Linked DNA regions of Drosophila melanogaster. The protein of the gene in region 1 purifies or fractionates together with the protein of each later gene. This does not show direct contact. Each region holds a gene or a part of one and is shown in the gene's direction. Other genes may lie near its edges.

Region 1 (13,742 bases):
CATAGCAATGGGATATTTAGCAGTTATTTTAAGTTGACTTCTTAACAAGTCGCCAGAAAGTATGCAACACTCTATATCTCTAGATTTTATGATACATAACGGATGTCAGGTTGTTAAATGAATTTCCCTCCGTGTTTTATTATGTGCACCACTTTGTGAACATTGCAAATTGGCGACACGCCCTGCAGCCACCCACTGCCACCCACATGCTTTTAAGTGCACTTCTCGCCTTGACATTGACTTTGTCGTTCTTCCGACCAGACAGCCCCATCTCCACCACCCCTTTCCACCCTGCAGCAGCTCCTGGCTTTTAGAGGCTCAATTAACAAAAATCCAAAGAAGGCGGAGGGGGGGAGGTACAGGGTGACCAACGTTAAACGACAAACGATACATTTCAATTAAGAGTGGTGCGGCGAACAGAGCATTTCGACAGCATCCAATAAAACAATATGGAGCAGGGGAGTATGGCTGACGACCAGGAGATGGCAGAGGTGGGCATGGCTGACGCAAATGGAGCACAGCATATATTGAAATAATAGCATTTCATAAGCGGATTCGGATGTTTATGCGCGGCAGGATAACGCGAACAATGGAAAGTTGCAGCTAGAACTGCAAAAGGTATAAGATAGACTGCTGAGCCTATTAACCTATGTAATTATTTATTATCAATTTATTTGGTGTTATTAAATAACCACACAAGCCACTCAAAATCGGTTTATAACCGGTTTGCACCATTTTTTTTTTTTGAGTAGCAATAAAAATTAGTCGCAGATTAAGTTTCAATTAGATTTCAACTGGTTCGCACCTGATTTATCAGCAAAAAAGTTTCATGGCCAGCGATAAAACCACTAAAGGTGTTGGGAATGAATAAAAAAGTGCACAAAAAAGTGAAATAATAACGTAATATTCTTCTATTACCATTTCTGTTTGTGAATTGTGGCGACGTGTAACCCGATTCTCTGCTTATGAGAAGTGGCCAACAGAATTGTGAATTTTGGACATGGACTTGGGACTGGGAGAGGGCCATTGACACTGTTGTCGGGACTTGGAACTCGGGACACGGGACACGTCTAACGATACAGAATAAATCAATTAAACGAATGGAGAGTGGTTTATTTCGGGCGCATTTGTGGCTCGCGTGTCAGTCGAGGGTTAAGCAAACACTTGTAGCCAAGTTCTTTGATTGATTCGTTGAGAATGGAGGGGATCGAAATGGAAGCCGCAGAAGCCGTGGTTGGTCAATAACTAGTGTCAAAAGGTGAGGCGCGGACATTCGATCAATCAATCCACATATTGTGCTCTAATTAGCACAAACGAATTTGCGACACAAGCAGATGGAACTTTTCATGCCTCGTTTAATTAACAACGCTAACGCAAATAAGTAAACAATTAGTTGAAATTAAATTTCCACAAGTGGCGGAATTCGAATAAATTTTCACTTCATTGAGATGTCAGCTCGGTAAAGATAATGCCGCCAATAAAAAGAGCATTGTAAATGAGCTCGCAAAATAACTTAGGTGCTATTCAACTTTTAACAAAATGTTATCTTTCCAATGAAATTTCTAAAAATGCTTTAGATTTTCCCATTGCCTTATATGGACTGGCAACTTTTGTGTTCGTTGAACTTTGAATCAGGATCAGCAGGGGTGAGATGTCCTTGTTCCCTCGACCGATCATTTGGATTTCAAGAATTTCTGACGCGACAATCGCAACAAAATTAACTGAAAATATTTACCAACGACGTCGGCGACAGAGGAAAATCGTTTTTATTTGGCCACCGGCCAATTGAGATGCATGAACTTTCCCCGCCGAGCTTTGCTTTGCATATTTGAAATATTCATTTGCACGACGAGCAGCTTTTCTTCGACCCAGAAATTTTTGGCTGACCAGCGCGTGATTATTACTCATTTTAGTGCCGCTGACGTTGGCAACAACGGCTTCCTTTCCTCTGGAGTTGCTTTCGCTACACTGAGAAAAAAAAATAGCATAGAGCTATGACAAATTAGCTAATATAGATATAACACCTAATCACCGCCTCATTGTTGAAGGTAAACACCTCGTTTCTTAAACAATATTCAGAAGAAAATACCAAAATATTTACATTAACTCGTCTATAGATAGAATAAATTCCAAAGCTGCAAAGAATTCGCTTCCCTTGATAGTAATCATTTGGCTATTTAAGAGAATTCTTTTCTTGCAGTATCTTTGGGATAGCAAGTTGTTTTAGAAACCCATTCAGTTCTGATAAAGTCATTTATTGCTATTAGATTAATGTTCATTTAAATGTGCAAATCTCAAAATCATGAGCTCCATAGAAGCATTTAATTTTATGACATAAAATGATTTATTATTCGCACTGACGTTACGAAAATTAAATTGATTTATTAGTAATCAGGTGGGTTATAATTGCTGAGCGATAATGATATTTTATTATTTTAGCTAGCTAGACATTTGGCTAGCACGTCAGCCGCTGGTGTTATCTACTCGAATATCTTTGCAGTTTGTTTTTTGCATTAGAGTGACTAAATAATTAGCGAACGAAAATCAGCCGACAAGCCCAAACAATGTTCGACCCCTAAAAATACGAAAGAAATATCGCGAATATCCGCAGTCTACGTGCATTGCTGGTCGTAGGTTTTGTTCGGCCTAATCGAAGTACAGTGATCACTCTACAAGTGCACTATTATAGATATATATGTCTAACATTTTGCTATTGGTTCTGTATTAAATGTTTATGGCTTTATCAATCTCTTTTCTCTTCTTTATGAAAATTTCTTAAATTTGCTGAAGAATTCGCGTTTTTTTTCTTCTTTTGGGAGAAACTGAGTTTAAGTTATTTTCGATTTCCACATGATGACCGTAGGAGTCATATTGCACACACTAAATTGATGTGGCGCTTCATATCTGGTGCGTCGAGTTACTGAATCGAAATCACATTCAATAAAACAACGCAAGGAATTCACTTAACTGCTCGGCGAGCTCAGAAAAGGGGTATTTTGAGTCTGGCTCGTGTTCCGTTTTAATTGACTATTAGGTTCTAATATCGCTGACTGGTTGCCAAGTGGCTGTATTCGCATCTTGATGAAAACTATAAACGAGAAAATCATTAGCTAAATTAAAGTATGTTGGATAGTCTTTGGGTAGGTTTTTTCATTATAGTTCATAATATGATTTCTTACAATTATTTTAGGTTTTTTTTTTTTAATTGTAAATGCATTTCCCCATGGTACCACGTTGCGTATGAGTAATACAAATATTAATGATAAAATTATACAGTAACGCACTATTGTTTTTAGTGCCAAGAACTTAATATTACTATTATTATTTGAATATTTATGTCAGCAAATAAATGAATAATACTTAAGTGATCGATCTAATGAACGATTGGGTTATGTGTTTACTTTTCCCATCCCTTTGCAAATATGCAATGTTTAGTTATTGACTGGCTAAGATCTTCAAGTAATGTATCCGGTTCAGCCATTCTCCGCCTGCCACGCCCCCTTTGCCGGGCGATCAACAAAAACAGAAAGAAAAAAATATATCCGAAAATGCTCACAAGCCGCGTGACTTTTATGACAGAAAATACATTGAGAAAAAAAATGCGGGGCAAGAAGAAGCTGCAGAGGCTGAAAAACGACACAGAGCTTAACGTAGGAATCGTTTATTTATGTTTATGTGGCTATATATACAAAAATTGTGTGTATAGACGTGTATTATTTATTTTTATACCAACACTAAAAGTCGAAAGAATAGCGCTTAAAAATATATATTGCAAAATGGTATTCCAAATCAAAAGTTAAAGATTTATAATTCAGTCAATAGTTCGTATCTTCAAAATATTAGCTACCCACTAAAACTGTTCCATACTGGCAACATTACGTATACTTGATATATATTACGTATACGCACTGCTGGCCCATAATCATTTATCATTTTTAATTCTTTGGAGATTTGCGAATTTTTCATAAACTAGAAATTCGATCTGTATAAAAACGAACCAATATTTTAAATTAATTAAATCGTTGCTAATTTTTTGGCCCACTTGCGCGACTGCATACGTAGGCACTATGGCGTGTGTATTCAAATCTTTGGATACGTATAATATATTTATGCTCGTGCAGATAGATATCTATTTGTTCAGCACACAATCTTCGTACATATACGATTTTTGGGGGCACATCCAGTGGCAGAATCAAGCCGAAAAATAGTGGGAGAACTTTGAAACTATGAATGTGTATGTACATATGTACATACATAGAGTGTTATGTACGTACACGCGGTCGTTGGGCTGATGAAATTTCGACGCCTCGTGGGCGAGAGTTAAAGACCCAGTGACGTTGTAGCCAGACTTCTAATGGGAGTGAGATACATGCAATATATTGTACATATATATATAATTTCATCTATATACATACATATATATATATATGAAAGTGTTGCGAACGAAGTCACAGCACATGACCATTAATAAGCGGCCAATTGAGGCAAATGAAATGCGCAACCAACAATTAATTGAGAGGAGCCGATGAATGGAGGCGACCACAGAGAGATAGATGATGCTACTACACTGCAGATTCTGATCGGTGGCGAGAACCTTCTGACGTCGCCGCGAAATTAGCCGACTAATTCAATTTGAAATTTTTATGCAAAGCTATAAATAGCTGGGCGGACCGAGAGATAGATCCGAGGAGAGAAGATGCCTTCACCTTGACAATTCTATAATCAAAATATAGAACCGACGGCGCGAATTGCATAAATCAGTCGGAAGGATGGGACTCTTCTACATACATACATACGCAGTGTGTCACGTAGTCAGCGTGAAAAACAAAAGAAAAGCTGCTGAACAATTCCAAACAATGCCAAAGAAATCTTAACACCTTCTCATAAAGTTGCATTCCTTTAAATTTTTCATTCTTATATCTCTGAAATGGAGTTAACTTTCATTGATAAAAAGTGACCATTAATGCTGGTTAAGGCTGATATTCACTACGAAGAATAATATATTTCATAATACTTTCTTATCACTGTAGCAGGACTTAATTTCAAACTTTCATTCGGAATTACGTGAGTTTTTGTTGCACTTTGATGGCGATGAAGATTTGAGAGCTTTTGTACAATAATATTTTCGTGACATTACTGCTACATCCTCCATCGATAAGAAAGTTGGCCTGCACTTCTCTATTGTTGTTAGCCTCGATATAAATCTCAAAAACCCCCTTTACCTAAAATACTATTCTTTAGTGTGATATTTTATCCTGTTATCAAAAGCATTTACGTCTAGATATCGTTAAGTTCGTCCTTCGAGCACTATTATTATCCTCGATGAGTGTGATATAAGAGACGGCCAAAGGCCCAAACCAGTCGAACTCATCTCGAATCTCGAACGCAATCTCGTTTGGAGAAAGTGGTTAGTTATTCTCCCAACGCCGGTCGTTTTTCTCGCTTTTCGTCTGTTCGGCTGTTTTTCCGGCGCTCGGCTGCCGCTCGTGTGGCACTCGTGTGGCGCTCGTGTGGCGTTCGTGTGGCACTCGTGTGGCGCTCATGTGGCTCTCGGCGGAAAGCTTTCACCGGGCGGACTATTTGACGCCGCTGCCATTTGGGATGCGAACAGTTGCCTGCGATTCGCCGCCCACTGCGCTACACTTTTTTTTGGCCCGCACTCCTTTCAGAACATTTATATATATATTCTTAACTATATATATAAATATATATATATATATATTTCTTCATATATATTCGTATTCGCTGAGAGCTGAATTTCGCGGCGAAATAATTTTAGCAACTTGTTATCCGTCCATGCCATGCGCGATAAAATATCACAACTATTTTGCTTGCAAAAGAACGCATGCAAAAATAATTCAACAGATAATAACAGAGGTGTGTGTGTGTGTGTGCTTGTGTGTGTATGTGTGCGTGTGTTGTGTGAAGTCCATTCATAAACTCTGTCTACACGTCAAAAAAAAAACGTGCCCTTCTGGCATCGAAATACTCATATCTATGCGTGTGATACTTTTTTTTTAGTGCTACGATTAATGCTAATCCCTGTGTTCTGCTCTCTCTTTTTTTGCTATCCTTCGCGGTGATATGGTGATGTTGCTGATCCTGCAGGACATAATGTGCCAACAAAAACAACGAGCAACGGGACCATGTGCGCCAATGGGTCTCTTGGGACAGAAGGGCCCGAAGCGCCAGAGACCGACTCATCAGGGACCGGGCGGATGCGGAAGCCGCTGGAGAGGAATGGCTCAACGCAGAACCACGTTGTTCACCTCGAGAGAAGGTAACGATTGCCTCAGTGCAGCAGGACCAGAATCGTGTACTCGAAATGGTCAGGTTGTTAGGATAGGACATTAATGCTACTCAATTGATTCCAAAAATGAAGGCGATTGCTCTTCTGAGTATTTAAATGTCAAAATGTAGGCTTAAAATTCAATTTTCAAGTAGTTTATTCATTTTTATTGAATTATTTATTCATTTATTCATTTATTTTTTAGCTTGTTAACATAAGTTATAAATGACAAGCCACTTGGCTTACTTTAATGATCAAAACTCATATTAAAGCAAACAAGACAAAGTGCCATTTCTAGCCTTGTTGTAAATACCAAATGTTTTCAGTGTAGACGTAAACAGTTTCTATTTACTTGGCTAAAAACGCGCTATTCACTTGATTTACACCTTGCTGTCAATTAAGTGATTTACTTAACATACTCAAAATTAACAAGTACACGGATCTATTTTTGACATCCATCCGTCAATATTTATCGACTTTTGACTTTAACATGCAGATTCGAGTGATGAAATCATGTCTTTACCTTAAAAATCTACCCCAAAAAGCAGTATTTTTAATTTATTTGATAATTTCGTTGAATTTACAATATTATTCTCTTTTTTTTTGTCATTTCAGGCTGGGCCTCTTCAGTGGGGTGGCTTTAATTGTTGGAACTATGATAGGTGAGTGTACAATCCATTCGGGGATGCTTCGCTCCAAAGCAATTGTCAAAACAAATGCATAAAACATGAGGCAGGAATGTCGAAGCGACGGGAAAAGAGAAAATCCAAAGTGTCGCCCAAAAAAACACACGAACACGCAGTTTTCCACGGATTGTGTCAAATTTGCTGTTCCGTTCGTTCTTGTTTTTTTTTTTTAATACATCTTTCGCTCTGGGAGTCGGTGAAAAATATTGAGGCACAATTTTCATTCGGTTTATTTTCCTTGCCTTTTTTTTTTGGTTCAAATTGGAGACGCGCATGGCCAAAAATACGTACGCATAAATTTAGCTACAGTATAATTCGCTTAGCTGCCTCGAGTACTTTGCACAATGCCTCGATGCAGGTAACTTAAAAATGCAGCTAACTTAATTTTTTTTTTTCTATTTTCTATTTTCTATTCACACAAAAAAATGGAAAAATAATGCAGATATCTTGCCGATGCAGCTAACTATCGATGCAGCTAAGCGAATTATACTGTATATGCACATAGTACATATACATATACACAGCTTTAGGCCCACCTATATATATATATGTGTATGTATGTATTGTCTGTCTGTATGGATATATATGTAGATGGGTACGCAAGCGGCCTGAGAATGAAAGTGCCATCAGACGGCTGGTGGGAGGAGTGCGGAGGATGGCGTGGATTAAGGCCAATTTCCAGGCATATTTTTAGGGGGCGAAAAGGGCAGCCCTAGAAAATTGGACCCCATACAGCGGTGGTCAATCACAGTAATATATCAAAGTATATTTGTATATTTTAGTGTTTGGTAAAAAGAACATCTCTTGTTTGAATCTTTATAAAACAAGAAATTAATTAATTAATAGCACAAATATATGTAATTCAAAATAGATCACTTTATATAAAAGCGTAGTATTGGCAATTATACTTTCTGCCCAGTTATCACTACAAATTGGGACGCTGCTGTATTTGGCTTCAAAACTGGGCTGTATTGAAATACATATTTATGACACGAATGGCGTCTGTTGTCGCTGCTGCACTTTGACCTTAGGCAATGGCGCCAGCTTGTGGCACGCAGCCGAAATTGTTGCACGCCTCTGGATCGAATATCCAACGAACTTCATATATTTTTTCCATACCGCTTCGCCGGCCTCATACAACCTCTGTGTGAGTTTCTCTGCAAGGAAAAACCACTATTTGCCGGTATTGCGCATTCGCCGCGTGGTCGGAGCTTTCGCCGAAACTTTTGTCCGCCCACTGATGACGTCCGCAACGCCCACTCAAATGGTATATATGTACTATGTAGAGCCCCGCCAGCCGCTCATTAGCATACGGGAAATCGAAACGATGGGGAAAGTAGGGAAAACAATGTGGGCCCTTAATCAGCTGTTTTTTCCGAAGCGCAGCTGTGGCAGCATTTTACTTATATCAACATATATCTATATTCGCAGCTACATATATCTATATCTATATTCTGTATCTATATCTTCTCCCTTTTGTCAATCCACAGGGTCTGGAATTTTTGTGTCACCCTCCGGTTTACTGGTTCGCACTGGTTCCGTTGGAGTTAGCTTTATAATCTGGCTTGCCTGTGGTGTGCTCTCTCTGCTGGGTAAGTAGTCACCAGAACCATAAAATCCCCTCCTGCCCGAAATGTGCGCCACGTGCAACTGACCCACTTAACGACGTCAAGTGGCCAAGTCCCAAAATTCGACCCTGCACTCTCGTCACAACTTGTTGCACGGCTGGCGAGGAGCCAAACTTTCGCGGAATCTCACACCTTCCAATCGCGTGCACTATACACTCGGAAAAAGTGCATTCTAGTTTTAAAATCATAAAAAGAAAAAAAATATAAAGATCTATTTCTTTCTATGATTACCAATGATAATCATCGCATTGGTTGATTACTCGTTTTCAAAAGTAAATGTAAAATTAAAGTTGATTGATTGGTCAAATATAAGATACTTATACTTAGCAACTTAATACTAATATGCCTCATCCTTACATATATAGTTTTTACTTATAGATGCTTATCCTTTGTAACTTTGTCTAATTATCCTTGATTGCCCACTTTCAGGCGCTCTGGCATACGCTGAACTTGGCACGATGAACACGTCGTCGGGGGCGGAATGGGCCTACTTTATGGATGCCTATGGACCGGCGCCGGCGTTTCTGTTCTCATGGGTATCGACTTTGGTGTTGAAGCCATCTCAAATGGCTATAATATGCTTATCATTTGCACAGTACGCCGTTGAGGCCTTTGTGACGGAATGCGATCCGCCCAGGGGTGTGGTCAAGATGGTCGCCCTGGTGGCAATTGGTAAGAAGCGGTAACATCGGAGGAAAGGGGATCACTACCACAGCTATCGAGCTAATAAGATAGATTACTTTAAATTCTATGTGGTATTGATCCCTATAACCACCATATCGTTTAACATACCAATGAATATTAATGATTCACCCTCTCCACTGTACAGTGATGATCCTGTTCGTGAACTGCTACAGCGTCAACCTGGGAATGGCCGTGCAGAACGTATTCACCGCCGCCAAACTGGTGGCCGTTGTGGTCGTGATCTGCGGCGGAGCCTGGAAACTGATGCAGGGCAACACGCAGCATCTGTCGAATGCATTTAATGGCCCAATGCCCAATGTGGGCGCCATCGCCACGGCCTTCTACACGGGTCTGTGGGCCTACGATGGCTGGAACAACCTGAACTACGTAACCGAGGAGATCAAGAATCCCAGCAAGAATCTACCGCGCTCGATCATCATCGGCATACCGCTGGTCACGCTCTGCTATGCGCTGATCAACATCTCCTACCTGGCGGCCATGTCGCCGCAGGAGATGATCGAGTCGGAGGCGGTGGCCGTCACCTTCGGCAATCGCATCCTGGGCGCGCTCGCCTGGCTGATGCCACTCAGCGTCACCATCAGCACCTTTGGCAGCGCCAATGGAACGCTCTTCGCAGCTGGGCGGTAAGGATTGACTTGAAGCTAAAAAGGAAGACCTTAGAACTTCTGAACTATATGTGTCGGGAACGGAACCACCATTATAATCTATGATCTGTTCTACTGCCATTGCAGTCTGTGCTTTGCGGCCAGTCGAGAGGGTCATCTGCTGGATATCCTCTCCTATGTCCATGTGCGTCGTCTTACACCTGCTCCGGGGCTGATATTCCACGTAAGTGTCTAAAACTTGACCCAAAATTTAGTTAGCTTACCCCGAATTGCTTCATATTGCCATCATATTAGCAGACCCAAATATTCCACTTTTTTTTTTTTGTATTTACTACCGCCAATCCATTTGTTATCCACATTTTAATTTTTTGACAAAACCTGTGAATGCCCATGTATCGATCCGATCCTCGTTCTAAACTCCCCTCTTTCTCTGTATCTTTCTCTGTGCGTACTTATCCCCGTCTCCAGTCGCTGATTGCCTCGGCAATGGTGCTCCATGGCACAATTGATTCGCTGATTGATTTCTTCAGCTTCACCGCCTGGATATTCTACGGCGGAGCGATGCTGGCCCTGATCGTGATGCGCTACACCAAACCCAACTATCCGCGGCCCTACAAGGTGCCGATCATCATTCCCGTTGTGGTCTTGGTCATCTCCGTGTATCTCGTGGCGGCACCAATATTCGAGACACCGCGCGTTGAGTATCTCTATGCCCTGCTCTTCATATTCGCGGGCCTGATCTTCTATGTGCCGTTCGTCAAGCTCGGAATGACGCCGAGATTTATGAGTGAGTAAACTAAAAGATATCATATTACAATTCATAACGCTAACGTTCTTCTGTTTGCAGACAAGGTGACGCTATTCTTTCAGCTGCTGCTGGAGGTGGTGCCCACCTCATCGATGGCCATGTTCGAGTGAAGGGGATACCCGGCAAGTGCTCAAGATTTCAAACGGGAGGCCAACAAGCTCGGAGAGCGAGAAGCAAATACATTCACTTAATTACTATTACAAACAAGGATATGATATATTAGGAGTGCAGCATAGACAGGATGCAAAAGGGGGTTGAGAGTGTGTTAGGAGCAACCTATATTGATATACTGACGTTGTCGTTGACAAAGTAGTGCTAGAGTAATAAAAACTATTTGAAATAGTCTTTTTATGCTATGAGCTGGTTATATTCAAAGATTATATGTGAATATACAGATATTTAGTGTGGATACATACATTTGTATCTTTATGTAGCGCGCATAGGCCAAGTTGCATAGTCGATACGTACGTACGTTTATACAACAACAAAGCAAATCTATATATATACATATATTTTTGTGTTCTATTAATTAAAGATCAAGACAAATGACAGAAACAACTAAAAAGAAAACACACACCTAAATAGTCGAATATATATCATTGCCAAGCGGCTCGAAGTGCAGGCCCCATAAATAATACCTATTATTATTAGTATTATCTGGGCATGATGGGATCTTGAGGTTTGAGTACAGTGCCGCCAGGAATCGATGACACCACCAATCCGTACAGTGCCCACCAAAGTCAACACTCGCCGCAGAGCTTCGAAATATCCTTGTTTGTTCTCATTTTGGATTTTTCGCTGGCGTTATTTACGAGTTAGCCCCGATCTAGAGATCGGCTGGAATAGCAATATTTATATATGTACGAGTATATGTGTGTGATGGAGAATGATCATAGTTATGATAATAATGCAAAAGCAACATGGTAACGAAAGAAAGAGGACAAATGCTAAATACAAACATCCCAAACTGAATGTTTCTAACTTTGTGCGACTAGAGCGCCACCTGGCGGTCGGGGATCGCGTGTGAAATTCGTAGGACTGCAAATAGGCATTAAAGATTTGTAATTGATACCAAAAGTAAGGTAAAGAAAACAAACAATGAGAAAATTCAAACAAAAAAATAGAAAAAAAAACAAATAAAAATAAAAGAAAGCGAAGCAAACGTAAATACTACTATGGATACTTGTTAAATACATTTTTTTGCGACTTGTGTCTGCTTTGACAAATCGTTGCAACCAAAACTAGAACTAGATTTAGAGAGACGGTTATACTTTATTATTATTATTATAAATACATAAAATGCCATTTTTTTTTCTTTACATTAGTTTTCTGTTATTCGTGAAGGACTCGTCGCACACGAGTTAGAAAAAGACAGCAGGTGCGCAGGTGCCGTCTCGCTCGCAAACAAAATACAAGAATTTTGAAGTTTTTTAATGACATATTTCCCGTTTTTGAATTTCTTGCTATGCTTCTCAATTGTCTGAACCGATATACAAAACATTTATATCTTTACCTATTTATAGGCGTACTACAGAACTTACCCACACATAAATATATATATATTTATATAATTTGTTAAGTTTATAAATTTTATAATTTTATTACCAACTATTTACAATGAGCTAAACGGAAACCAGAGCAAATCGAAAAGAAAATCTCTATCTATACATGTACCTACCACCTAATAACAAAAGAATTGTATTATGTAAACCGGAAATTGACGAAATAAAGTTTTTGAAACACATGTCGCTGTTATCTCAAGTTAATTGCCATAGTTCCATCTACGGCAGGGTGTTGTTAGTAACTTCATAAAAAATTAACTTTTCAATTGACTTCTTTTATTACAGCGATTTTTCTTTCGAAAGAACATTGCCAAATTCCTTAATCATCTAATTCTTATTAGTTATCAACAAGAAGTATAGTTTTTGTTTTGCTAATATATATATATAAATATATAAACATATTAGTACACTAGTCACAAAAAGTATCATAAACTTCAATTACTTTTAAAGCATACCATATGACAACATTCTAGTCTAGCCTAAATACTAATCTAAAAATGCCAGGCATTAAAAATAAGAAACATAAATTAGGACAATTCCAATAGCTACTTGAACAACATGTAAACATTTTTCATGAACTGCTTTGGTAGTAGACATCTTGATCAATCTAAGGATCAAGAACTCCTCGACTACGCCTCCTCCCTTTTCGCCTGGCGACTCCCAACAGCCGCGTCAAACTCCGGGAACAGGATGCTGATCTCGCGGAGGGCGGATGCCTCGCTGTCGGATCCATGGCAGGCGTTGCGAGTGTCGGATATTCCGTACAATGCCCGGATGCAGTTGGGATCACTGTACACGGCACGGAACACCTTGGTGGGACCCAGAAGACTGCGCCACTTCTGGATGCAGGTTTCCGACTGGAGAATCAGGGCGTAGCTGGGTCCGCTGAAGAAGATATACCAAATGGTTATACCAACTAAGTGGCTTAGGATTTAAGGATGTGCCCAGGCACTATACGAACCTGTTCATAAAACTGGTTAGTCGGTGGTAGAAGAATTTTCCCTTATGCTCCGCGTAAAATCGCTCAGATAGTTCTTTCGTAATGCAAACCTCCTTCTGGTCAAGAATGGTGAAGTTCTGGGAGATCAGGGCTCGGATCTGCTGCATTGCATAGGTATTCCGCAGCACGTGCGGCTTTATCAGAGCGAGTGTTATTTCCATGTCCTGCTGATTGTGGTAGAATAAGAAGCTTTAAAGTTTAAGTTTAAGAGGTAAACAAATTAGCCAGCCGGTTCGGCTTAACGGATCTATCGATATATGACCAGAGAAATCGAAAGTGTTGTTTCATTTAATAGACGTACTCCACTGAAATGAAATATAAGCAAGCATTTATCTTTTTTAGACCATGCTCAAAAAAAAAAATTTTTTTTTAATTTAAAAAATGTAAGATTGAAGATTTAACGCGTTTTCTAATTATGTTAGTCAATAATAGTTCTACCCATTTTTAGACCCGTTACGC
Region 2 (11,860 bases), on another chromosome or scaffold:
ATGTTCTACTTCCTGTTCTCAAACTTCTACAAGCGTGCCTATGTGAAACGCGATGGCAAGGTAAGAATGCTAGCTAGGCTATACTAGAGCCAAAGGCTAGTATGTATAACCATGTATTTTTAAAATTGTTAAAAAGCTTATGACAGCATATATTTAACCAAATGTTCTTTTTTCAGGACAAAGCGTCGGTGAAGGCAAACGGACATGCCAACGGACACGTGAAGGCGCTCAAGGACGGCGATGTGGCGCCAACCAGCAACGGCCAGGCCAACGGCTTCCACAACACCTTCTCCAAGTTCACCACGGATATGTGCAATCCGGCCCTGAACTCCTCGACGAGACAGCGTGTGCTCGTGAACGCCGGCAACAAGTGAGCGCCGCCAGCCAACCAGCCAGCCAGCCAAACATGAAACACACATAAGCATAAATTAATTACGCTACCAATTAAAATACCGTACATTTAAATTAAACGTAAGCATAGGGAGTCCAAGCCTACATCTAAGCCAAATCGAATTCGCACCAAGATCAATTGAAGACAAGGAATCAAAAACATTATTTCATGGACAATCCATGGTGATCGCACGTAAGGATCACAAATCGCTGGCATACCGCTGTCCATCGATCATTTCTTAGCTACAAATATATCCACATTTAGTCCCCAACACTTTCCGCATCCAGTCATCCATGTTCATGTACATAGATCGTATATAGCTGCTGCTAATTTAGTGGTACGGCGTTCATCTACTTTTAATGCTTAAGTACACCCTTTCGGGGACGTGTATTTCCGCTTTTCGTATCTATCGCTCAACAATTTTGTATTTTTCTTTATGCAAGCGACGCTTTTTAATACGTGTATTTTATTTCTATGGATTGTTTTGAACAAAAGAAATGTGTTTTTATTTTATAAATAAATTCGAGATTAAAACGTAGTAAATAATCTTTTATTTCTTATTCCTACATTGATCATTTTTGAAAAAATTATGTTTTCTTTCATAGGGGGATGTTCTACAATAAAGATAAAGAAGGTAATAAAGACTGAATGATTTTCCTTCATTTATTTGATTATCATGAAAATTATTTAACCCATTTTTGTTAAATTTGGTGGCGCCACCTTGAGATCGTCGACAGAACTATAGTGAGCCCAGTTTTTTACATACATCTCCGACTTACACACAAAATAGAGAAGAATACTTTTAGGGTTCACAGTTAAATGAAATGTCAGAACGATCACCAACGTGTAAAAAGTTTTAAGTTCTACCGATCTTATAAATATTTATACTTTTTTAAAATTTCGATGTTTTTATACGGAATGCTGAGTATGATGATATTGTTTTGAACAAGTTAGAACCATACATTTGTCTTAGTCATGACAAATTCAGCTATGCTGAAAGTCCTGGAGTTCTGAGATATATTAAATTATTTTCCGCGGACAAATAGAAAAAACAGATACCCGTAACTCAGCTACTGGGATAAAATTCAATATTTTCTTCGTGCTAGAGAGGACGTGGTGCTCTAGAACAAACTGACGGCGCACCAACATCTCCAAAATCTTATTCTTAACTTTCTAACTTGTATAGTTCTTTTATAATTTATCTCCTTTGATACGGACAGAAAGGAGTACGGACGGTCGGACAGGACTAAATCAACTGGGCTAGGTTCTTGCTGATCGTTGGTTTCCAATGTTATACTACGTTTTTGTAATTTATCTAATTTATCAAACAAATTTCAAACAATATTTAATATTCACCTGTGAAGCCTTGGCCCATGAAAATGTACATATACATCAGAATTAAAAAAGGTTCAACAAAAAGTTTAATATCAAAAGGTATTTGACCTTGCATCGAACTGATGTGAAGTTGCCACGCCTCCAAAAGAAGTCAGAAAAACAAAGTTGACTTATTACAGGAATAGTAGGCATGTCAGGTCATTATGGTTAATGAGAAGATGCATGGGCATGGGTATGTAGACCTTCTGAAGGTTCCTCACAAAATGCGAACCAGCAGAACGGACTTTATGCAAATTATTTACCAATACTTTGTTGGCAGTAAGCAGACAGGAACACGGATACGACGCCATGCATAATTATTTCATTACGACCTAATGAACAGCTTCCGATCGATTCTCATTACCTAGGGCCTGATTTGTGGTAAAATAAATTGCCAATATTAGCCTCAAGAACACGATCACCGAATACTGAGAAGTGCCTGCTTCCAAAGTTACCACATTTCTAACCGAGATGTATTCTTATGCAGGCACTAGCCTGTGGATGGACAAAGCACTTTAAAAACAACATAACTATATTATTAGGACCTTTTAGGTGTCGTATACAAAGAGCACTAACTGAATTAGTTATGAACCACGAAGCGGAAAATCGAAATTTTGCAAAGCGAAAAAGATTTCGAGATCAGCAAAAAAAAAAATCAAAAGCAATTCGATCGGCAAGCGATTAAGATGGTAATGTATTGCCTAAAATCGTTGCCTCAGTTAAATGTATTCTTTTTTAGCGTCACTTTACCGTGCTAGTATCCTGCATCCTGATAGTTATATTGCCATGCGTGTTAGGGGCTCACAGGACAGCTCTCAAGAGTCATTATAGAAGCTTTGTGAAACCAAAGCAGAATGTCATACGGGCTAGAACCAATCAAACAACACAACTTACATTAGGAGACTATACGGAAAACTTTTATAAACACTGCATGGATATTTTCAAAGAGAAAAACTTGGTTGGTAAAGTGATCCATGGCATGATCAGTGGAATTTTAGACAGGCTCAATGAAGTGTGCCTCGACAAGCCCATTCACCCACTTATCCACAAAGTTTTCACGGAAATCCTTCTCTGTGGCGGAAGCATGTCGGATGCAATCGATAGCGTCATTGACATATTATTTGGAAATTTGGAAAGAAATTGCAGGGAGAGGCCTGGATTCAATAGCTATTATATTTTAACCAGTGCGGAAAACGAAATAGTTGAATCAAAAGGTTAAACAACAATCTGAGAGCTTATATATTGATGTAACCAAAATAAAATAATTAGGGGTAGCACTAATACCTCTTATAAGACAATATGTTATACCATGTCTTAATATAATGTAAATATTACTACAACGATATTTAAACAATGATTCTTTTAAGAAACTCAAGAAACCAAACTACATCCAAATATTATTCACTTGTTTAAGATTCACTATGCAGATACAAAAGTCAAATCAATTCCGGTCCAGTTCCTTCAATGGTAGTCACATTAAATTTGGCTCGGCTATTCGTTCTTCTCGACGGCAAACAATTCAGAGCCAGGGGTCAAGTTTTTCAGAAATTGCACAGATCTTGCGAAGCGATCGCCCGCTGCATCCACGCTGGGAAGAATGGCCTCCAAGAGAATGGGGACTACTTGCTCGCCTACGGATTGAAAAAGCTCAGCGATCTTGATTATGGTGGCCGGATCTGGCAAACCTGGAATAACCGCTCGAGCCGATGGCGTGTTGTCCGTATTCACCTCGCGTCGTCTGCGTCTGCTTTCCTCGGAATCCTCGACTGTTTCCTCGGAGGAGGAGTCATCGTCGTCTCCATCGTCATCGCCCTCCCGCTTGATCACCACCTCTGTCTCCTCGCCAGCAACTGTGATCACATCCTGATGGCGGATTGAGTTATGCATGTTCGAACTGATTATACTCGTCAATCACCTGCGGCCTGGCCTGCGTTTGGGTCACCATCTGAAGCATCACCAGCAGGAATCCGGAGAGTAGCAGCTGTCGTCCCATGTGAAAACCCATTTTGTCAACTTGGTTGGGGCTTACGCACCGGCCTGCCATATATATAGCTCCCAGTTAATAGGCTAATGACACTTGCATGTCTCTTAATCGGAAAAAGATAATATGCAGGGTAATGCAGCAATTGGTCAATTTTGGTGTGGCCCAGCTAAACCAATTTGAGTTCTATTCGGCAACCTTGTGGAGTCGGCAGACTCTGACTCTCCAAACACCCGGCAACTCAGCATATTTGGGCCTGGAATGCGCCGACGAGTGCAGTTTGCTCTGCGCTGGTGGCTGGCCACAAAACCCGGTCCACCAACTTGGCTTTTGGTCAAGCGAGAGAGCTCAGGTAAGCTGCCACGCAGACAGGTAGTTTTTTTGGGCCCGGCTCAATCTCAATCGCCGCGAGCCATAAATCGTACTTACGCACACGGAACGCGTTTCTTTCACAGGTATAATTAAATCAAACTCGAGGAGCGGTTCGGATTGGGGCTGCGCCTCTGGGGGCGATGCACTGCCAGAGCGAAACTGCAACTTTAGTTGCGAATCAGACCTCTTATTGGGCAGGTCACAGTGCAAAATACAAGCCAGTGCCAAATATCTCATTTATTGTTTATAGTTTTATTAACAGTCTTTCAAAAAAGCTAAGGGTATGTGTACATATAATATTTTTTAGTGTGTGCCAATACATACCTTGTTACAATGTTTTATATTTATTCGATCCCAATTATCATTATATAATTGTGAGCTGTAACTACAAATGAATTGGTATAAAATTACAATATTTCTTTAAGAGCTTACTTCATCAGAAATACATATCTTCAATACAATACTTAAGTAAAAATTGGTTTTGGGCTAGTCTGTTTGAAGCACAGTAATTTTCATTAATATAAATTAAATTCTTCACTATCTCAGGAAATCACCACTGCCATGAACCTATTCTCGCGCTTGATACGTTTGGGAGGTGGGGCCAGCAAAGTAAGTACATTAAATTCAAATATCTCAGCATTTTAAGTGATTAAAAATATTGCAGAGCTCCGTTACGCTACCAGCTCCTGGTGAGTTTTTCTAAGCTAACAGTTCAAATTTCCCGCCAATCAGTTTTGTAGCAACGAGCATCTGTAAGACAGCGTAAGTAGGCACTGAAAATCGCCGAGGTATTTTATAAAAATATGGAATAAGGTATGACCGATGGGTAGATTAATTCCTGGTAAGCCCGTATTCAATCTATAAAATATTTTACATACCACACAAACGAGGCATTTGTAAGGAATTCTTCACCGCGTTCATTTCGCTAATTCTTGCTGCGGTCTATTTTAGGCGTATGTGATAGTACAATCAACGCAGCTGCTGAATACCCACCCGATTCCACGGAGGTCTACAAAACTATAGCCGAAGATACTTTTGTGGCAGCCAGTTCGAACCCCGAAAAAGGTAATTAAACAAAGAAATTGTGTCTACAGCTGGGGAAAAATGTATGGCTGACGTAACAATGCGTCGAATTTTCACTGGAAGCACTCATGAAAATGTATCTAAGTATCTATATTTAAAAGTGTATATGTGTATTTTTCATGAGTGGCTGGGGTCGTGGTGGGCGTGTGCTTATCAGTACGCGGGAGATAAGAAGAGTATACGGAAAGCGATATCGATTTTAGACCAAGCCACAGGTCCATTTTCCAATGAAGCGCAAACTCGAAGCGTGGCTCGCATCCTGTGACGTCAGCAAGTTCTTCCAGAGAAAATCCCACACACGGAAAACTTCCCTTCTCCTGTGAATCATGAGGAATGTGGCTTCTGATTTCGACTTAACCTTACAAAACCAGCTCGGTTCCCCAGAGAAAGGCTGTTGGCTTGAGATTAACGTGCTTACGCTTAATTGAAACTGATTAGAGCAAATTGAATCATTGTTGAATCATTTACTTTTTAGTCGACATGGTCCAGGATGAGAAGGCGGCCCACGCCGATGGCGCCGACGAACAGATGCTGGGCTCCAACGGAGTGGAGGATAAGCTGGCCGAGCGTCGGGATGAGGTTAAGTTCATCAAGGGCGATCACCAGAACGGAGATGCCAAGATCGACATCGGAACCGTAAACGGAGGCAAGCCCGTGAGTATTAAACATACATACATTTTTGAAAATTAATTTAAAAATGAGAAAGGAAAATAATATATGTAAACGCCATTGGTTAGACCGTTATTTCAAAAGCTGCGCAACTTAAATAATTTAAACAAAATCGCTAGTTATGTACATACATATGTATGTGTGCATGTGGTTATGCTAGAATTCAAGTTACACTTAGTTGAATTTCGTTCTCCGGTTAATGACCTTGGCTTGTCATTCAATAAATATACATATGTATTAATATGTGGGTGCACATGTGCATATATATATATGTGTATATATGTGTGTAACATACATGTGTATTCGCAATTATTGAAATTTATTTGTGCAGTTTTATTGTTATGAAATACTCGTTTTTCATATTACTAATATGTAATTAGTCTCTACTTTCTGCTTTTACCCTGACGCATTTTATTATTTTATAAAATAGTACTTTTAATAATTATTTCTTTTCATTACAGGCCTTCACTGGTATGAGCAAGGAGGAGCTCATGAAGTACGCCAACGACCCTTTCTGGGTGCGACTCCGCTGGATCTTCTTCGTGTGCTTCTGGGCCATTTGGGTGGGCATGCTGGTGGGCGCCATCCTAATCATCATCGGAGCCCCCAAGTGCGCTGCTCCGCAGCCACTTCCATGGTACAAGCGTGGACCACATGCCAAGTTCGCCAGCGTTGAGACCTGTAGGCCAGAGGATGTTCAGGTCGCCAAAAAACTGGTTTCCGCTGGCGCGATTTATGAGCTTCCAGCTGCTCTGACCTACGACGTGAAGAAGCCGGAGGTGGAGGAGAAGATCAAGCATTTGGTGGCTCTGTACCAGGGCAGCGATACCAGGGTTATACTTGACCTGACGCCCAACTACGCGGCAAAGAACTCGCAGCTTGTGCAGGATGCCATTGCAAACCCGGAGAAGAGATCGGCCTTTGTCTGGGTGAGCGGCGGTAAAGCTCTTCCCAACAACTGGCTCAAGGTGGGCGGCAATCGCAGCGCCTGGGAAAAGGTTGGAGACAACTATGTGCTCTCCCAGTTCGAAGACGGGTACTACGACCTCAAGATGAACAGTACCATCATTAGGAACGAGTTCGGAGCAGTCCTAAAGCATCTGGTGGCATTGGGCGTTCGAGGCTTCCGCCTGAAGAATACCAAGTTCTTTGCGCTATTCGATAGCCTCGAGGATGAGCAGATCTCGTCATCGCCGAAGGACTTCAGCCTGGGACCCAATGAATATGGCTTCTACTCCCACAGACAAACAACTTTCCTATCCGGCCTGGGCGATGTGCTCTATGATTACCTGAGCATCGTGAAGAATGCCTCCGACGAGGCTTTCTTCTCGGTTGCCGAAGATGTCATGGAACCACAGGTGTACCAGTTGAGCGGAGATTCTGGAGCATACGGCATCGATCTGCCTATGTACGGAAACTTTGTAAAGGTGCTCAGCAAATCTAAGCCAGACACGTCGCTACAGAAGGAACTGGATAACACACTCGCCCAATCGGGCACGGACAGCTGGCTGCAGTGGAACTTAGCGGACGTCTATGTCGACACCCCACAGGATCCATCTGCTCTGGCCATGTTCCTATCCCTGCTGCCCGGTGTTCCCGTGGTGGCTGTGGATGCTGTGGCTTATCAAAACGTTACCGAGGAGACCTACAGGCAGATCACCTCTCTGCGCAAGACTGCATCCTACATGCATGGAAATCTTAATCTCTACCAGGCCGATCCACTGGTCGCCTTCTCCAGGTAATTGAAGTTGTTTACTTTCTCGATTGTATTTGTCACTAACTTTTGTATAATTCGTTAATGCTTGCCACATGAAGGCAGAGGTAAAAACTTAAACCAAGTGTCCCTATATATTATATATTAGTATTTTAATTTTCGATATTTCTGAATTCATTTATATTCAATCCTACTATAACCTATGCTTAATTTATTAGTTGTGTTATTATGTAGTTAAAAGATTTCAGTTATCTTTTTGTTTTTTTTTTAAACCCATTTTATGTTTTTTCCACAGGATCAAGTCTGGAAACCCTGGCTACTTTGTCATCTTCAATCCCACCGAACTGCCGCAGGCGAGCAACTTTACTATCCCAGACAATCTGCCGGACAAGATGACGGTGTCCTATTTCAGCGAGCAGTACAACAATAACATGGATAACTCCGGAAAGGTTGCTCATGCTGGACGCGTGAATCTCAAGGATCTCAAGGTGGCCCCGCACTCCAGCATTATCCTGACCTATGTGCCAGTGAAGGCGGAGTAATGTGGTAGTACCTGTAACTATCCACCAAAATAAACAATATCGCATAATGGCATATATACAGAAATTGTATAAAAAAGTAACTCGCTTTGTTAACCGTTGAGATTTAAAGCCGCCAAACAAAATTAAAAACTTATTCGCTGAGAACTTTTTAGACTTGCTTGCTTGTTAAATGCGCTTGCTAAGAAATAAATACAATATTTGCTTGCATTTAATATAAACTTGTGTTTTAATGCATATTAGTTTGGACAAAGACCCTAGAATAACAAGATGCGTAACGCCATACGATTTTTTGGCACACGATTTTTTGGCCGTGGCTCTAGAGGTGGCTCCAGGCTCTCTCGAATTTTTGTTAGAGAGCGAGAGAGCGAAGAGCGCTACAGCGAACAGCTCTTTTCAACGCACAAAGTGATAGCAGACATCAGTATGTGTGCACACGTATTCACATGCATTGTAAATTTGACAAAATATGCCCTTCACTTTAGAAGTTCTTTGGCTTTAAATCTATATTATTTTTGATAAATAAATTTCAAAAATGACTTTATATAAGAATATTTGTCATTAGAGTATTCATGTTGCGGCGTGTGAAAAATTAATAAGGCAATTGTTGAGTGCTTGTGTCCGCACTTCGTGCCTCAAGATATGAACAAAGCAAAGACACTAGAATAATTCTATTGTCTTTGATATTACTTTTGCAATTTAATTTAATTGCATATTTAATTATTTAGTATATTTATTAAATCATTTGACTTAATATGATGTAACATTAACATTAAAAGTGTTTCAAAAAAAATATTTCGCTTTTAAAAAATTGTCAGATGAGAGACAAATTAGAATTAAACATAAATATAAATGTGTAAACGGTAGCTAATTCGAGCGGCGATTTTAACAAACAAATTTAAAAAGCTTTAAAATTATAATATTCAGGGCGCGAATTTTTAAAAATTTTTTTATTTTATCATATTGCTAGGAAATTGGCAAAAACTACCCTAATATGTACCATGTAAATTCGTTTCTTCGATCAGAATTGATTTCGGCCCGAAAATCGTCTTCTAGCACAACACGCACACTTATACGCGTTCTCGTCTCTTGTTTTTACTCACACAAGCAAGCAAATTATATTTTTAGATTTCTTACGCTCTCAGCGGGAGTGAGCCGAAAGAGAGTAATTTTGGCCGTCACCAAAAAAGTGGCTGCATAGTGCCAAACCAATGTATGGCCGTTACGCATCTTGTTATTCTAGTGTCTTTGGTTTGGATTAAATTCAATGGGCCTAACATTAAAATATATATTTAAGTATATTAACATTTAACAATGTTTTAAATATCGGTCTGGCAACATCCAGTTTCTGGCAACGCCAGTTTTCGCCAGAATGGCAACTTTATGTAACGTATAATCAAAATTCAAATTCAAAGGTCTTGTGTGCGTTTGTGGACTTGACACTACAACAACATCAACACTACACAATTTTCTAATTTGACATTCTTAAACAAGTTGGTCAAAATGCATCTCTCCTGCTTAAATGTCATACCACACTGAAGAGGAGCAGAACTATTTGGCCTTTGTGGAAAAGTTTAAAGACCTCAAAGAAAACAGCGAATGCATTTGGCATACGTGTGTGGGCCAACTTTGAGATACAAATAGTTGGGGCGAGCTGGCAAAACAAAAGTATGTGCGATGTGTGGGCTGCCAAAGACAAATAATCAAAATCGACAAGCGAAATGAGCCAAAAACAAAGCGGCCAAAATGTTTTTAGTTTGCACAGTCCTCGCTTTGAATGGCAGCCTGGGGAGCAAGAGCTCTCTCCACAAACCTCCTCGCCACTTATGCATGTGTATCACCAAAAGGCCAAAAGGATATGCGCACGTGCTAATGTGATTAGATACACAAACACCAGCATGCTGATGCAGGAAAAGGCGACTTGTTCGAGGAACCGCAACATGCAGTGCAGTTGATTGCGGCAAGCCAGCTACAATAACAAGAAAACTCGACTACCGTGCAGAACAACTTCATTTTGGGTATCTCCGAGATGCAAACTATTGTTGCGCAGGTCATCATCATCGTCCACATCATAATCATCATCACCATCATCATCTGGGAACTGCAAACTTCTCGACCGGTATTCCGCCCCTTCCCACACACATATGTACTTAACACCCACCACCATCCCTGCCAACACTTTGGACCTGGCCTTGTGCGCTGCGAAATTATTTTGTCGCTACAACTTTTCCATCAGGCAGTCATCAAGTGCAGCACCAACCCTTCAGGACAGGTCGACTCCGGCTGACCACTGATTTAATTGCAATGTGCAACACATCTGCTGCGATGTCACCAAATGCGCAGGGGAATGCGTAAAGTGGTTTTTAATAAAGTTTTCACTTGTATCCTGGCTTCGGCCTTGCGAATGATGATGAAAGGGTTAATTGCTCCCCCTGACAATCTGTGGTTGTGACGGATATACATTTTTTTACACTGAAGGTCATAGATGTTTTGTAGGATTAACATTTTGTATTTGGGAAAGTGTGCTTAAGGCTATGGATGTTTTATATGTATATTAATATAAAAAACTTTTTTAAACAACCTTTTGTACATGGATAAGTATCATTAGTATCACTTATTTTATCGCACTATCCCTTTTCAAAATGCAACTAATAAAGTAGGGAAAATTAGGTAGCGGGATTTTTAAAGACCACACACTCGACTATCACGTTCTTAAATGGTGCACATGTACTTGCTGTTGTAATATATTATAATAGCCCAGTAAGAACTTTAATATTCGACTATAATAGCTTTTGTCACGATCTGCACATATTTCACTTACTTTATTTTCTATAATAAACAAGTAATCATGAGCGATAATGCCATGTTTTATGTTGCATGATCAGTGTAATTGCTTTATTAATTGCCGAACGCCGAGCTCTTACTTTGTGTTAATGCAAATTTCGTAATTATATTAAATACAGCCTACGTAGTTAATATATATAATAATATGATATTTAAATACAATGTAGTGCAAGTCACCCCAAATTGAACTATTTCTACGATTAAAACCTTTGCTGGCACATTTATTAGGTGTCACGATATCAGCTTAGGGTTCCTTTGAAGGGCTTACAACGGATTATGGGGCGAATACGCACCAGTGTCAACAACTCAATTCGATGGGCAGAAAAAAAAAAACAGCCAAATGAGTCGGCTAATTTGTATTGATTTTTTATCGGAAAAGCCAACTCCCTTTTTTCTTGCGCCCCATACTTTTTCAGCTCTATGTTGCTGGTGCGTATTTCTGTTTGTTTTGAACTTTCCCATGAATAAATTTTGCATATTAATTGAGCGACTGTCATCAATATGTCTGTGCGCAGAACGGAACCCACCCAATGACCAATGAGCATTCCCTGCGCCAGCCTCATCACAGCATGGCATCATTAGTTGGCCTAAAAAATCCCATCAGGCTTTGATTAACATTTTGTGCACACAAATGCCGGCCAAATGCAAGAGCGTCTAAATGAGTTGCATCTAATTGAGTGACAAACACGCCACGAACAACACAACACCACCGACACACCAGACCCAAGCCCAGACCCAGACCGACAGCAACTGGCCACCTCTCACAAACTGTGCCAATTTGTTTTAAAATGCATCATCCCGGCGCTCAATCAGCTCTGCTCGGTCCAGTCCGGAACTTATCCCACCCCAGGATCCCCCAATGTCCAGTGCCTGCTCTCGACTGTTTTTCAATT

Evidence for each region.
Region 2: the proteins of sbm (region 1) and CD98hc fractionate together in Drosophila melanogaster (co-fractionation; one study listed by BioGRID). This does not show direct contact.

Annotation. Positions count from the first base shown.
Region 1 is NC_004354.4:14,583,455-14,597,196, reverse strand, and holds sbm (sobremesa), read left to right. Parts: upstream 1-5,605; 5' UTR 5,606-5,801; coding exon 5,802-5,877; intron 5,878-6,108; coding exon 6,109-6,280; intron 6,281-6,904; coding exon 6,905-6,951; intron 6,952-8,465; coding exon 8,466-8,567; intron 8,568-9,032; coding exon 9,033-9,275; intron 9,276-9,432; coding exon 9,433-9,931; intron 9,932-10,039; coding exon 10,040-10,136; intron 10,137-10,381; coding exon 10,382-10,700; intron 10,701-10,760; coding exon 10,761-10,831; 3' UTR 10,832-12,464; downstream 12,465-13,742. Other genes in the region: nmdyn-D6, read right to left, coding at 12,913-13,168, 13,245-13,444.
Region 2 is NT_033777.3:7,970,885-7,982,744, reverse strand, and holds CD98hc (CD98 heavy chain), read left to right. Parts: upstream 1-4,316; 5' UTR 4,317-4,399; intron 4,400-4,664; 5' UTR 4,665-4,679; coding exon 4,680-4,727; intron 4,728-4,782; coding exon 4,783-4,807; exon of another isoform or gene 4,808-4,880; intron 4,881-4,975; exon of another isoform or gene 4,976-5,069; coding exon 5,070-5,183; intron 5,184-5,676; coding exon 5,677-5,855; intron 5,856-6,331; coding exon 6,332-7,608; intron 7,609-7,685; coding exon of another isoform or gene 7,686-7,691; intron 7,692-7,879; coding exon 7,880-8,126; 3' UTR 8,127-8,336; downstream 8,337-11,860. Other genes in the region: Elovl7 (ELOVL fatty acid elongase 7), read left to right, coding at 1-60, 177-374; Sfp84E (seminal fluid protein 84E), read left to right, coding at 2,452-2,454, 2,505-2,984; Os-C, read right to left, coding at 3,257-3,628, 3,681-3,770.